Notamacropus eugenii: one gene and its partner. The protein of the gene in region 1 purifies or fractionates together with the protein of each later gene. This does not show direct contact. Links are inferred from orthologs where the notes say so. Each region holds a gene or a part of one and is shown on either strand. Other genes may lie near its edges.

Region 1 (7,797 bases):
TCTTACTAGGTACCGTGCTCTGTGGTCATCAAGAGTGACACAAAGACAAAAGTCAAATGACTGCCTGCCATCAATAAGGTTATCCTACTGAAGAGAGGGACAAGGTGGGGATAGTAAGGTAAGTATATACAAAGCAAACACACAGTTATCTTTTAAGAGGAAGCACTAACAATGGGGGGCAGAGGAAGGTGGATCAAGAAAAGCTTTAAGTAGGAGCTGGCCCTTGAGCTGAGCTTCTAAAAGATAGAGGTGAGGAGGAAAAATATTCCAGACACAAGGACAAGTCTATGCAAAGCCTGTACAAAGGTGGGAGGTGGAATGCTAGGCATAACTAATGGGAAGTAGGTCAGTTTGGCCAGAATGTACAGTGTATGAGGGGAAATAACATGAAAGTAGTCTGGAGAGATAGGCTTGGAATCAATGAAACATTAAAAAAAATATAATATATAACATTTAAAAAACTAAGTTTTTAAACTGTAAGTTTACAATTTCATATACATTCTTCACTGTCTTTTAAAATGGTTGTGTTTGTTAAATTCTTAATAACAAAAGAAAAAAGAAAGGCTGGAGTCTTTCACACATCAGAGTGTGGTTCTGACACATGAAGGGAAGAGTCCTTCTTCTTCCCTGACTCAGGCAACAGAATCACGGCTCAAGGAGCTAGAAAGCTCATTGGAGATCATCTAATCATAGGATAGTGGCCTTAGCACCAAGAAAGAGACCTCAGGTCATAGATGACTCATCCTCTGAATTTAAAGATGGGGAAAATGAGACCTGGAGAGGCTTACTGACCCGCCTGAGATCACAAATGTAATAAAGACAGAGAGAGGATCTGAAACCATACCCTTAGTCCGACTTCCTTAGTTTTTAGAAGAGCATAGTGAGGCCCACTGAGGGCATGCTACCTGGCTCAGGTTTTATACAGGCAGAGAATTCCAAAGCTGAGATTCAAACCCAGGTGCTTTAGCCTCAAACACCAGGAGGCGTTCCCTTTTAAGTTCATTTCCTCATCTGTAAAATGAGGATAAGAAATGCTGGCCAGGGGCTGTGGAAGAAAAGCAGACAGGCAAATGATGATTACTACGTTCCACCCAGTCATATGTTCTGTACATGTCCCAGGCTCATGCTCCTCCCTTAGCCCACAACTATCCTGCTGAACCCACAGTTACCTGCTGGTGTCCTAGTCATCTTTCAAAGCCAAGTTCAGGTACTTGCATCCTCCTCAAGGAAGCCTTCCCCCATTTTTGTAATCATCTAGCATTAATTTTTGACTTTTCTTGGGTCCTGATACAATTTTGCCAGCTGTGGAGTTCTGGGTTCTGCCCTTCTATTCCTGAGATGTCAAATAATGGTGGAGAAAGCCACTGAAGCCATTACAAATTCATGCTATCTCACCCAGGAGCCTGGCAGTACTTCTATTTGTGAGAGGCAGCAGGCATCAATGCCAGAAAAGACCTAGGTTTGAGTCCTTCCTCTGACATGCTGGTGGTATGACACTGGTCAAGTTCTAATCTCTCGATGCTCTAGGAAACTCTCTAAGACTACTGGTATCTAAGACGATACCGAAATGCATAGGTTAAGGGAGTTTCTTCCCTGAAGAGTTCCCCATAACAATGACATCATGAAGCCAGTTTCTTTTCCTGATTGGCTCTTCTGTCATACCGTCCACAGTGCCTGCTCCCTACCTTTTCAGGCTCCTTAATTTCCACTCTCTCGGTATACCACCTTGATTCCTATTTTAGTATAACTGAATTCATAAGTCATGAACTCCTTCAATTTCTTCCCTCCAAAGCGCAATCCCTCTGCTTGTGCCTTTGGGACTCTTCAATTTCCCCCTCTTTACTGGGTCCTTTCCCTGAGGCTGCAAATTTGGTCAGGTCTCCTCCCAACTTTAAAATGAAACATTGGTTTAAAATTAATATATTTCTTCACCATCACTGTTAGACTGCTAGAAAGAAGAGTCGACATTCACTGTTTCCACTTCCTTACACCTTCCTATTCTGGTAATCCCCACAGTACTTTCAGCAGTCCTGAAAAAGCTCTCCCAAAGTTCATAGTTGCCTTTTCTAATCTTCCTTAACCTCAAACTTCCCCTAGTCATGTCTCCCACTTTTTCTGGATAGTATTCATTAATCTCCTCTTATTTATCTGATCACTCATTCTTCTGAGACCCCAGATCCATGTTGTACCTCCTAATTGTGAATGCCCCCCAAAATCTGTCTCCTACACTTTGTCCCTAGTTGACCTCACTAGCCCCATGGCCATAACTGTCACCTTTGGTCCTGGGTCCACTTCTTTCTTCTCTCTATTCTGTCTCCTCAGGTGATCTCATCACGCCCCATGACTATAGTTGTCACCTCTGCTCTCAGGGTTACCTCCTAATTCAGGTCATCATGGCTCCCTTGTACTACTATAAAACCTCATAACTATGCATCCAGTCTGTTTTTTTCTCATTAATTTTCATACAGGTGACAAAATATTTTCTGTTTTTTACTCTGCTGATCAAAAATCTTCAAGGGTTCTCTGCCTCTAGAATAAAATTCAAACTCCTCAGCATGGCATTTAAAGTTACGAACAATCTGACTCCAACTAATCTTAACAGCCTTGTTTCAGCCCATTTCACATATACTACTTTTTCACTGGTCTTACATGTCTTGTCTTCAGCTTCAGTGAATTAACATTAGCACAGGCTCTCCCTGCCTCTCCCCCAGCAGGAATTCGATCTTTCCTCTCCTTGGACTCTTGTGAACCTTCCTTCTCTTAACCTTAAGACTTAAGCTCAGTTGTTACCTCCTCTAGGATGCCTTCCTCCTTTTCATCTTCTTCCCCATCTACTCACAACACCTCCCTTCCTCCTTCCAGCAAAATGTCAATTTCAGGCAGAAGTTATCTTTCATACCCACATTCCCAGTGGTCCTTCCTACCTAGGACATCAGGGAACTTCCACCAACACTTAATTTCTAAGTTAAGAGATGGACAACATTTTTGCAACAAGCATCCCTGATAAGGGCCTCATTTCTCAAATAAGTGGAGAACTGAGTCAAATTCCCCAATTGATAAATGGTCAAAGGATATGAACAGGCAGTTTTCAGATAAAGAAATCAAAGCTATCTAGTTACATGAAAAAATGTTCTAAACCACTACTGATTAATGTAAATGAAGCAACGCTGAGGTACCACCTCATACCTTTCAGATTGGCCAATATGACAAAACGGGAAAGTGTTAGATGTTGGACGGGATGTGTGAAAACTGGGACACTAATGCACTGCTGGTGGAGTTGTGAACTGATCCAACCATTCTGGAGAGCAATTTGGAACTATGTCCAAAGGGCTATAAAACTGTGCATATCCTTTTGATCCAGAAATACCATTGCTAGGTCTATATCCCAAAGACATCCAAAAAAAGGGAAAAGAACCTATTGTACAAAAATATTTATAGCAGCTCTTTTGTGTTGGCTAAGATTTGGAAATAGAAGGGATGTCCATAAATTGGGGAATGGCTAAACAAACTTGGTATATGATTGTAATGAATAATGAAATATTATGGAGCTATAAGAAATATCAAGCAGGATGATTTCAGAAAAACCTGGAAAGACTTGCATGAACGGACGCAGAGTGAAGTGAATAGAACTGGGAGAATATCATACACAGTAAGAGCAATACTGATCGATCAAGATTGTAAACATCTTAACTCTTCTCAGCAATACAACGCTACAATACAAAACAACCCCGAAGTATACTACGCACCTCCTGAGAAAGAACTGATACAGCTGCAACAGTGAGCACGCTACTTTTCGTTTTCTTTTATTCTAGTCTTGCACAGAATGCCTAACATGGACATGTTGTGCATAAATGCACACACATAACCCACATCTGACTGCTCACAGTCTCAGCGGGGGTGGGGGGGTGCAGATAGAATCTGGAACTCAAAATTTTAAATAAAACTGTGAAAGTAAAAGAGAGAGACGGACAACAAGGACCAAACTCGGAGGTGAAAAGGCCTTACCCCCGTCTGCGCCCCCCGCCTGCGCCCGCCGCCTCGCCCCCCGCCTCCCCGGCGCTAGGACACAACCCGGCAGGCATCAGACGGGAATGAGCCAGAGCAAGCAGTCCCGGGGGAACCCGCTCTGCCCTCCTCCGGCCCGACACCACCGAGCCCTCCGGGGCTCTCGAACACAGGCACACGCAGCGGGGGAAGGTCGCACGGACACTAGGGCTCAGCGAATCTGGGCCCACGATGAGGGGGAGGGTTAGGACACGCTGACACCGGGTCCCAAGAACCCTGGGGCCCGCGACAGGAGATGGAGCGTCAGGCGAACACAGCGGCCACGACGCAATCACGGGGTTCCCACGAGCCTCAGACCGGGCCCGCGACCCAGGGAGGGCGTCACGCAGACCCCGGGGGGCGGGGAGGGGGAGGACACGCGGACACGCGGACGCGCGGCTCACGGGAAGCCCGGCGCCCACCGCACAGCGGGGGGTATCGCGCCCACGCTCGGGGCAAACACTCACCTTGATGCGCGGCGCCCGCCCGACACTGGCGCGTGGGGTCGGGAGCGGGCGGGCGGCCGGGGCCGGGGGCTCGTCGGCCCACTCGGGCTCCTCGAACATGGGGGCTGCGAGGCCACGTGGGCCTCCGCCACCGCCGCCAGCCCGGGAGCAGCGAGACGACGCTGCGCTGGCAGAGCGGCCGCTCCGCCCGCCGGCGACCAGCGAGAGGAGGCTTCGGGCGGCCAGAGCGGCTGCGTGGCGAGGGGCGGGGCCGGGCCGGGGCGGGTGTGGCAGGACTGGCGAAGGAGGCAGCGGCCGGAGCGGGCGGCTGGCGCGTCTGGACCTGGACCCGAGCCCCGGTGAGCGATCGTGCGGGCCTGCACCTGCCCCTGGGGTTGGGGAGATGGGGGCGGGGCCACGAGCCCATTTTACAGAGGAGGAAACTGAGGCCTGAGGGTGGGAGGGAGCCTCCGGCGGTCCGCGGGCCTGGAGAGAAGGCGGGCGGAGTCCCGGGTCCAGCCTCACGGCTGCCGCCGGGACGCCGTGTAATCGCGGGCCTGTCCCGACTCTCTCTCGGGGCGTCGGGCCCCTTAGCTGCCTCGGCGGGGCTCCGGGCAGTCTGCGCCGGGGCCTCCCCCCACCCTCGTCTGGGGCGGGGGTGGCTTCGGGGAGGGGAAGGGGACAACGCCCAGGACCAGCCCAGCTTGGATGGAGTAGTGGTCTTCTCACCCTGGGGCACTCCCAGCACCCACGCAGATAGCAGCTTAGTTAACTGTTCGGTGAGTTGCGGTGGCAGAAGATAAGCAGAAGATAATTTGTTCCCCGGGGACAAACTTCTCGCGTGGAGCCTCCGAGCCTTAGCCCAGCTGGTCCTCCCTCGACCGACACTCTGGGTCGTGCTGTGCTGGTGAAGCCCCGGGAGGACTTGGTTCCAGGCTTATCTTTGCCCAGTCAGGATACTAGTCTGGAGACGAGTGTATGGATTCAAGTGGGGTGGGGGGGCGTAGAAAAGCATGCCTTCTGTAGCTCACACACCTTCTTAGGGCTTAAGAACCTTCTTAAGGTGCCAACTGTTGTCCTTTTTAGTCAGGACCACCCCTGAAAGGGATGTGTGTGGTACAACTAGGAAGAATTATCAAACATGACTTTCCCAAGAAGGGTATCTAACATCATCTTCTGCAACCTTCCCCCATCCAGCTGCTCGGGGAGTGGGGGTGACCAACTAGGACGTAAAGTGGGAGAGAAAGTTAGGGAGCTAGCTCTTCTCTTTGGGAGGAGGTAGTAAGTCCTGATAACCCTATGCCCACATTGATTAGTACCTCTCCCCCATCCTCCTGACTATCCAGGGTCGTAAGAAGCTGTCACCATGGACGACATTTTCACTCAGTGCCGGGAGGGCAATGCTGTGGCTGTTCGTTTGTGGCTGGACAACACAGAAAACGACTTGAACCAAGGGTGAGAGGATCTGAGGGGAAAGTTGGCAAGGAGGTGTGTCTGGGCAGGGCAAACAAGGCTCCGGAAAACCTTGGTGTAATAATGTATATTTTTGGTATCTAGTCCGCAGCCCTTTCTTGCCCTTTGCTTCGACAGTGCCTCTACTTTCTGTGATCCATACCTTCTCCTAACACTGGGACATATGGAGGGGACAGGTGATGTTGGGTGGGATTTTTTTGTTTTGCAGAAAAAAGAAAGGATACACAGGACATCCACAACTGGGCTGGGGAACACAAGTTGGAAGTGGAATATGTTTGGTGGAAACATTGGGATAGGGTTTCAGGGCCTAGGTTCCTGGTACAGCTGAGCAAGATGAAGACCCCAATTCTTGCCCTTAGAGTGGGGAAGATGAGGCCCCTATATATAGAACTCTGAAAAGCAGAATGTGAAAGTGTTAGGGAATTCAGAAGACATCACATGCAGATCTCATTGGACTAGATATTCATTTCCAAAGTCTCAGATCTATGATTCTAATATTTCCCTTTTGGATTTCACTGCAGTCTTTGACAGTTTCTTATGGGAGTAGGACACAAGAGTTGTGAGCTCTAGCCTCTTGTTGTCTAGCCCCTGGGCTAGGAAAATTAGGCAGATTCAGACCTAAGAGTAATGGGTCAGTGTTAGGTTGGTGGAAGGTCTCTAAGTGGAATGGCCCAGGCATGTCCTTGACTTTTGCTGCTCAGCATTTTCATTATTGACTTGAGTAGAGGTCTAGATGGCACATCTATCCTATTTGCAGATGTCATGAAACTAGAAACAGTAGCTAAAAACTGGAAAACAGAATCAGGAACCAAAATCACCCTGTGAACCTATGATCAGGCCAAATCTAATATGATGAAATTTCATAGGGATATCCAAGCATCTAGTCTTATTTTTGGATTAAGAATTGCAATTGCACAAATACCAGATTGTGAATGTGCAGCTAAACAATTCCTGTGGAAAAATTCTGGGGGATTTTATACATGTGGAATTATGAGTTAATAGGAGACTACAGTCAAAAAAGCTAACTGCTACATTTGGAGACATTCATTCAGCCCACACTTTATTCAGCACTTGCCCTGTGCTAGGCAGTGGTAGTACAAAAGTAAAAATGAAGCATTCCCTCCTCTCAAGGAGCTTCCACTCCACTGGAGGAGAGGAGAGATCAAATATGTATATACATCAATCCAAAATGAATTCAAAGTGATTGGGAAGGCCACTGACACTAATGACAGGAGGGTGATCAGGAAAGGCCCCTTTTACCAAGGAGCACTTGAGCTGAGCCTGAAAAAAAGTCAGTAATTCTAGAAGGCCTAGGTGAAAAGGGAGTTCATCCCACTCATGGGGGACAATATGTATGGGTACAAAAAGGGCATAGAGGCTAGAGATGGGATGCCAAATTTGGAGAATAACAAACAGGCAGTTTTTCCTGAAAATTAGCATGTCCAAGAAAGAGTAATGGGAAGTCAGTCTGGATAGTTCAGAACTTCATTGACAAGAATTTTAAAAGCCAAAAAAAGAGTATTACATAGTAGAGGCAACAGTCACTAAACCTTCTTGAGCAGAGGAGTGATAGGGTCAGCCCTGTGTTTTAGAAACAAAAATTTGGAGGCTATGGATTGAATATGCCCAGTTAGGAGTCTTTTGCAGCAGTCTAGGCAAGAGATACCTAAAGGAGAGTGGTGGTTGTGTGAATAGAGAGGGGATTAGTATGAGAAATATTGTGGAAGTGAAATCTCAAAAAGCTTGGAAACTGATGGGTTGTGGTAGCTGAAGGAGGGTGAAAAATGAAAAATGATTCCAGTTTTTGAACGAAGATGACTAAGGATGGTAGGTC
Region 2 (7,218 bases), on another chromosome or scaffold:
CACAAGACTCATAACCCAGGTTCTTGTCATTTCGAGGTTACCTCTGTGACCCCTGGCCCCTTGATCTGTGATAGTTAAGTGGAAGCTGTAGGTGCATGACCACTGTGCCTGAGGGAATCTTGACCCTCTGTGGGATTTCCTTGGCTTGTTACCCATTTCTAGGGGCTTTGAACCTATTGACTCAGAGATATAGGAGATGGGTGGGAGGAGAGGTGCGGTGCAGTGCTAACTCATGTCCCTATTTTCAGGTGAAGGCCTTCCTGGCCGACCCCTCCGCATTTGCAGTGGCCGCCCCTGTGGCAGCTGCTCCAGCTGCTGCTGCACCGGCTGCTGCCGCTCCAGCCAAGGTGGAAGCCAAGGAAGAGTCGGAAGAGTCTGATGAAGATATGGGATTTGGTCTGTTTGATTAGCCCACGGGAAACAACTATTTCAGCCAGTTTATTTGTGAAACAAAGGAATAAAAATGCTCATTTATCTCAGCCTCTGCTTCTTGTGTTCATACTTTTAACCACAAGAATTTATAAACTGTAAAATCTATAAAATGGGGATTATAGCCCCCACCTCTCTGGGTTGGGAGGAGAAATTGAAATAATCATTGCAAAGTCCTTTGTGCCTCTTCTAAATGGTGTAATGAAAAAATCTTGTGAAAACATGACAGAAGGGAGTGATGTGGGGTGGTTTTTCCAGTTTTTGATACTGGGATAGTTGTAGGAGGAGGGTGATGGATGTCTGAGCCAAGATCCCTATGAATCTCCGCTCCCATCTGTCCAGCTGTGTGCCTGTGGATCCTTATTGATTGCTTGTCTTTGTATTATCTCTGTCGTTTATAACCAGTTCAACAAATGAATGAAGTCCCAATTTCTATACCTGGAGCTGTAGTCTTCACCTGTGCCAAGGAGGGAGCATGCTCATTTATGTTGACAATGCATTTTCTGGTTCTTCTGCTTCACTTTGCATCACTTCATGGGCTGCCAGGCTTGCCTTTTTATTAGACTCATAAAACAAGTTTTTTGTCTACCACAAACCTGCTTAGCCATTGCTTGATGAATGGGCATCAGCTTTACATTTTGTTCTTTACTACAAAATGTTCTCCTTTAAACATTGTGTGAGTGGTGCTCATTCAGCATTGACAGAAATTACTTTGTATTTATGGGAGTAAGAACTTGTGAAGAGTCTGCTGTGTATGTGGCCTCCAAATGAGGAGGAGAGTGGGGAGCTTGAGGGCTGCCAGTGCTTGGATTCTTTTTCTGTTGCCTTCCATGTGCTGGAAGGAGCTTTAACGGACCAGATGGTCCATTTCAACTGCTGAGACAATTGCATAAAGTGATGAGCTACTCAGGGTTGATCAGGTATGTTATATGTCAGAGCTGGGGTTTGAACCAAATTGGAAGTTGTTAGCTGGAAATGGAACCAGGCTGTGAGGAACATGGAGGAAAAAAACCTCTCTATTTAGGATATAAACTTCCCCTCAAAACTTTTTTTTGGTTACATTTGCTGACTTTTTTTAAATACATAATTTCTTTTTTGTTTTCAGCATTCACTTCCATAAACTTTTTGAGTTTAAAATTTTTTCCTCCCCAAGACAGCATGCAATCTGATAAAGGCTTTATTGTTAAACGTTCATGTTCACATTAGTCATGATGTAAAGAAGGATCTAATGGGAGGAGCCATGAGAAGAAACAAAAGAAAAGGACAATAGTTCTTTCTCTGGATGTGTATGGTATTTTCCATCATGAGTCTTTTGGAATTGTTTTAGATCCTTGCATTGCTGAGAGGAGCTAGGTCTATCAGAATGAATCCTCTCATGCTGGCTGCTCCTGTGTATAATGTCCTGGTGATTTCTGCTGACTACACTCAGTGCCAGTTCATAGAAGTCTTTCCAGGTTTTTCTGAAGTCTGCCCACTCATCATTTCTTACAACAATAGTATTCCATTACATTCATATACCACATGTGAAGAGAACTTGTCCAGCCGTTCCCCAATGGGTGGACATCTCAATTTCCAATTTTTTGTCACCACAAAAAGAGCTGCTGTAAATATTTTTGTTCATGTGGGCCCTTTTCCTGTTTTTATGGTCTCTTTGGGATACAAACCTAGAAGTATTGATGAGTCAAAGGGTATGAACCAGTATTTCATTAGTGTTCCAATTTTCCCACATCTCCAACGTTTATCATTTTCCTGATATGTTAGCCAATCTGATAGGTGTGATGTGGTACCTCAGAGTTTTGATTTGCATTTCTCTAATTAAACATGATTTAGAGCATTTTTTCATATGACTATAGATAATTTCTTCCTCTGAAAAAACACTTTGTAGCCTTTGACCATTTATCAATTGGGGAATGACTTGTATTTTTATAAATTCGACTCAGTTCTCTATATATTTTAGAAATGAAGCCTTTATCAGAGACACTGGCTATAAAATTGTTTCCCAACTTTCTACGTCCCTTCTAATCTTTGTTGCACTGGGTTTGTTTGTGCAAAAACTTCAATTTAATGTAATCAAAATTATCCATTTTGCATTTCATAATGTCCTCCATCTCATTTGTTCATAAATTCCTCTCCATAGAACTGACAGGTAAACTATTCCTTGCTTCCCTAATTTGCTTATTGTATCAGTTTTTATATGTAAATCACGTACTAGTTTTGACTAGCAGGGTTAGATGTTGGTCTATGCCTAGTTTCTGCCGTACTATTTTCCAGTTTTCCCAGAAGTTTTTGTTAGATAGTGAGTTCTTAGCCCAGAAGCTGGAGTCTTTGGGTTTATCTAACAGTAGATTACTACAGTCATCGCCCTCTGTGTCTTGTGTACCTTACCTATTCCACTGATCCACCACCCTATTTCTTAGCCAGTACCAAGTAGTTTTAATGATGGCTGCCTTATAAGACAATTTAAGATCTGGTACAGCTAGGCCATCTCCTCAAAACATTTAAAAAATAATTGCACTTTTAACACAACCCCTGAAAAAACAATTGACCTTTGGGTCTGTAAGCACCTGTTACAGGGGTGTTACTTTCTGTTATAGCACTGAGTCTTATTTGCACTTGAAATCTTAGGCAGTGTAGTATAGTGGGAGGTCACTGACCCGGCTTTTGGAGTCCAGAGCATGATTGAAGCCTGGCTTCTGCACAACAGCTGGTCTGAGATTCAATTTCCTCACTCATAACATGGTAATAATACTTTTCGTGACTATTTTACAGCATCATGAGAAAGATGCTTTGGAGTTTAAAAAATGTATTTGGGGAGTTAATGTTCCTTTCTGGATTTGTTGGGGGGCTGTGACATATAGTCGTGGAGATTGACTCAGGAGACCAGGCCCACGGACAGGAATCCTGGATGTTCACCAAAAATCTCTTTATTAGGACAGTGGACAGTTATGCATACGATGGACACAGAATTATGGGAATTAAGGGAAGGCTTCCTGAAAGGTCTAATGCTTGAGCTAAGTCTTGCAGGGAGCTCTGGAGAGGAGGATGCGGGTCCTTGTTCCCAGACCCAGACAGTCCATCTCCCCTCTCGGGGCATTCTCTCCGGCTCTTCCTCCTGCTCCAACCACTGACTTCCCTTTAAGTCCCCCCTAAAATCCCACCTTCTGCAGGAAGCCCCCCAACTTCTCTTACTTTTATAGGCTCTTCCCTCATTATTTTCTACTTATTCTGAAAACAGCGCATTTGTACATATTTGTTTGCATGTTGTCTCCCCCATCAGAGTGGAAGGAGGTCCTTGAGGGCAAGGACCGCCTTTGGCCTCTTCTTGCATCCCCAGCACTTAGCACAGTGTCTGGCATGTAGTAGGCGCTTAATAAATGTTGACTGATTGGCTGATCCTAGCCCCTTGCAAAGGCGCGGAGGTTGGAGATGAAGTGTCTTCCCGGGGGACATTTCAGGAACACTTGGAGCTGCTAACAGCTTTGCATGATTTAGCTTCGCCACTTTCCCCAACAATTCCGACGGTCTCCAGGAGCGCCCTGCCCTCCCCCCTTCCCCTCCCTCCTCCCTCCCCTCCCCCTTCCCCTCCCCTCTCCTCCCTTCCTGTCCTGGTGATCCCGGGACCACGTGCAGGGGATGGCTTGTCCCCGCCCACGCCAGCGCAGCAGGGGGCGGGCTCCGCCCGAGAGCTCCCAGGTGTCCCCGGGGCCAAGCTCGCGGGAGGGGGTGGGGCTCCGCGTCTCCATGGTGATTGGCCCCGCCTCCTGGTTCCCGGCGTGGGAGGGCGGGGCGAGGTGTGAGTGTGTGTATGAGTGTGCGTGAGCGTGCGGGCTCTGGGGTGACCCGGATGTGAGCCGAAAACGGTTCCGGGGTCAGAGCCGGCAGGATGGCGGCGGACACGCAGGTGAGGCTGGCGTCCCGGGGGGAGGGGGGGCGGCTCCGGCTACGGCCCGGGGCGCCTCGGGGCTCGGCCTCTGCGCGGCTGGGGAGGCCACGGAGGGAGGAGCCGAGAGACGGAGACCCCTAGAGGGCGAGAGCGAGCGACGTGGGCAGGGGCGGCTCCGCGGCCGAGGGACAGCTGCCGGTGCGGAGCGTCCGGAGCCGCCTCCAGCCGCACCGTCCCTCGCAGTCTCGGCTCCTCCGTTTCGGTCTCAGTCTCCCCGTTGCCAGCCTTCTCAACGCGTGCCCAGCCCCTGCCCCTTACTGAGCCCCCCTCGGAGCCCCACAATCTAAGGGAGCCCGCTGTGGGGTCACGAGGTCATTTGGTGTTGCTTCGTTTTACTAGAGGGGGAAACTGAGGCCTTGCGGCTGATCGGGCCAGGGTTCAGACTCACCCCAAATTGTGGGCGGCTGTCCCTGTCTGAAGAGAAGGGGCCTGGGCCGGGCAGCCCTGGGTGGGGGCCACGGGTCCGGCCAACCCTGGGTGGGGGCCACGGGTCCGGTCAGCCCTCGGTGGGAGCCACGGGTCTCCAGCCCTGGGTGCGAGCCCCGGGTCCGGCCAGTCCTCGGTGGGGGCCCCGGGTCCGGCCAACCTTGGGTGGGTCTCCAGCCCTCGGTGGGGGCCCCGGGTCCGGCCAGTCCTCGGTGGGGGCCCCGGGTCTCCAGCCCTCGGTGGGGGCCCCGGGTCCGGCCAGTCCTCGGTGGGGGCCCCGGGTCCGGGCAGCCCTGGGTGCGAGCCCCGGGTCCAGCCAACCCTCCGTGGGAGCCCCGGGTCCGGCCAGCCCTCGGTGGGAGCCACGGGTCTCCAGCCCTGGGTGCGAGCCCCGGGTCCGGCCAACCCTGGGTGGGGGCCCCGGGTCCGGCCAGTCCTCGGTGGGGGCCCCGGGTCCGGCCAACCTTGGGTGGGTCTCCAGCCCTCGGTGGGGGCCACGGGTCTGGCCAACCCTGGGTGGGTCTCCAGCCCTCGATGGGGGCCCCGGGTCCGGCCAGTCCTCGATGGGGGCCCCGGGTCCGGCCAGTCCTCGGTGGGGGCCCCGGGTCTCCAGCCCTCGGTGGGGGCCCCGGGTCCGGCCAGTCCTCGGTGGGGGCCCCGGGTCCGGCCAGCCCTCGGTTGGGGCCCCGGGTCCGGCCAACTCTCCGTGGGGGCCCCGGGTCCGGCCAGTCCTCGGTGGGGGCCCCGGGTCTCCAGCCCTCGGTGGGGGCCCCGGGTCCGGGCAGCCCTCGGTGGGGGCCCCCAGGCCGGGCTCTCCTGACAGCAGAGGGGATGAAATTTAGGTGAAAAGAGAGGTCCCCAGACTCGGCCCAGGGCCCTGCGGGCCCAGCCTTGTCAGGGGCTAGGAGGGGAAAGGGAGAAGAGCCAGAAGGTTCCATTTCATACTTAAAAAGGGAAAGAGATTGAATGAGAGAAGCTGGACTTTAGGGGCCTCCATGGGCTTGGTGGGGGTCCCAGGTCTGTAAAAAGGCCAGGTGCCTTCTCTGTGCCTCAGTGATGACCTCTGTAAAAGGGGGCGTGCTGGACGAGAGCATCCTTTAATTCCACGATTGAGTGTCGAGGCTGGCCAGCCAGGTCACAGCAGGCTCTGTGGGCAGTTTTTGCGGATGCTATTTCATTGGAAAGCCTCCTGAAGTGCCATTTTTAGAGGGTCTTTGGGGGGTTTGCAAAGTTCCACAGTGCCTGTTGAGTTGTAGTAGCAGCCCCTGTGGGGAGCCGAAGCCCTCTGATCCTTCACAGAAGACCTCAGGCACCTCTTTAGTGTCAGACTGACATCTTAAGAGTAGGTAATCCCCTTGTTTTGGGGGAGAGGGAATGGCTTACATGAAAAACTTAACGATCATTTTTATTTTGGTGAAAGAGGAGAAGATGAATGAAAATGATAACTATAAAACTGAATTACGTGTGAGCATGTGTATATATGAATGTATATATGTACCCACATACGTATGTAGGTACATAGATTTAAAAAGGGATCATGAGGGAGCAAGGAAAGCCAGTGGTTTCCACGATGTCACTCCCTGCCTTCAGTCTTAGGTCTCACTGACTGCTGCTAGGCATAGGCTTCCTGAAATGTCTTCTCTGTGTCTCTGCTTAATTAATGTTGGCTGAAACAGGCCGAACCTAAGGGGTGATCAGCAGGTTTGGTTTCATGAGTGCAGGTGCTGAGGTTACAGGCCCCTGATGCGGAAAGGGTGTTACTTTCTGTCCTGAGGTCACTGACGTTCACCCTCTCATGGCTTTTCTATAGGCTGACTGACCCGCTGGCTGAGAGATTCTGTAATTTCTTTCTTTTCCCCCATATCTTGACCTGCTTTCTTGTGTGTATGTGTGTGTATATGTGTATGCATGCGTGTATGTAAATCTATGCATACATTCACGGGTGATCTCTTTGTGTGTGTGTATGTGTATGCGTGCATGTGTGTGTATCTGTGCATACATTCATATATTCACGGGTGATCTCTTTGTGTGTGTGTGTGTGTGTGTCTGTGGGTGACTTCTACAGGTTTCTGAGACGCTGAAGCGTTTCGCCGTAAAGGTGACTACAGCCAGTGTGAAGGAACGGAGTGAGATCCTTAATGATCTTGGGAAATGTGTCGCTGGAAGAGGTAAGTGAACGTTCATTTGTGTAGGAAGGGATATACACCATTTAAAGTGCAAATCACATTTTCATTAGCTCATGACTCTTTTTTTCCCGGGAATCCTCATTCAGGAGTACAAAGATGCCTTTTAAGCCAGAACGTTTATTTTTATGTAGTTAATAGTATATACAGTAAAAGCTTTGCCTGTTGGGATACGTTTAAAGAAATACAGTCTAGCAGGCTCCCCTCCAAAGGAACCATTCTTTTATAAATTATATT

The links. Proteins that work in one complex are often made in the same cells at the same time.
Region 2: the proteins of ILK (region 1) and GCN1 purify together in Homo sapiens (affinity purification with mass spectrometry; 3 studies listed by BioGRID and IntAct, with this or other methods). This does not show direct contact. The link is inferred for Notamacropus eugenii from reciprocal best matches to the Homo sapiens genes ILK and GCN1.

What each region holds. Positions count from the first base shown.
Region 1 is NC_092876.1:88,829,770-88,837,566, reverse strand, and holds the start of ILK (scaffold protein ILK), read left to right. Parts: upstream 1-4,739; 5' UTR 4,740-4,849; intron 4,850-5,191; exon of another isoform or gene 5,192-5,269; intron 5,270-5,836; 5' UTR 5,837-5,856; coding exon 5,857-5,945; intron 5,946-7,002; exon of another isoform or gene 7,003-7,797. Other genes in the region: RRP8 (ribosomal RNA-processing protein 8), read right to left, coding at 4,512-4,610. UniProt on the Homo sapiens protein: Scaffold protein which mediates protein-protein interactions during a range of cellular events including focal adhesion assembly, cell adhesion and cell migration.
Region 2 is NC_092875.1:25,072,192-25,079,409, forward strand, and holds the start of GCN1 (stalled ribosome sensor GCN1), read left to right. Parts: upstream 1-4,172; 5' UTR 4,173-4,312; coding exon 4,313-4,330; intron 4,331-6,863; coding exon 6,864-6,966; intron 6,967-7,218. Other genes in the region: RPLP0 (large ribosomal subunit protein uL10), read left to right, coding at 249-410. UniProt on the Homo sapiens protein: Ribosome collision sensor that plays a key role in the RNF14-RNF25 translation quality control pathway, a pathway that takes place when a ribosome has stalled during translation, and which promotes ubiquitination and degradation of translation factors on stalled ribosomes.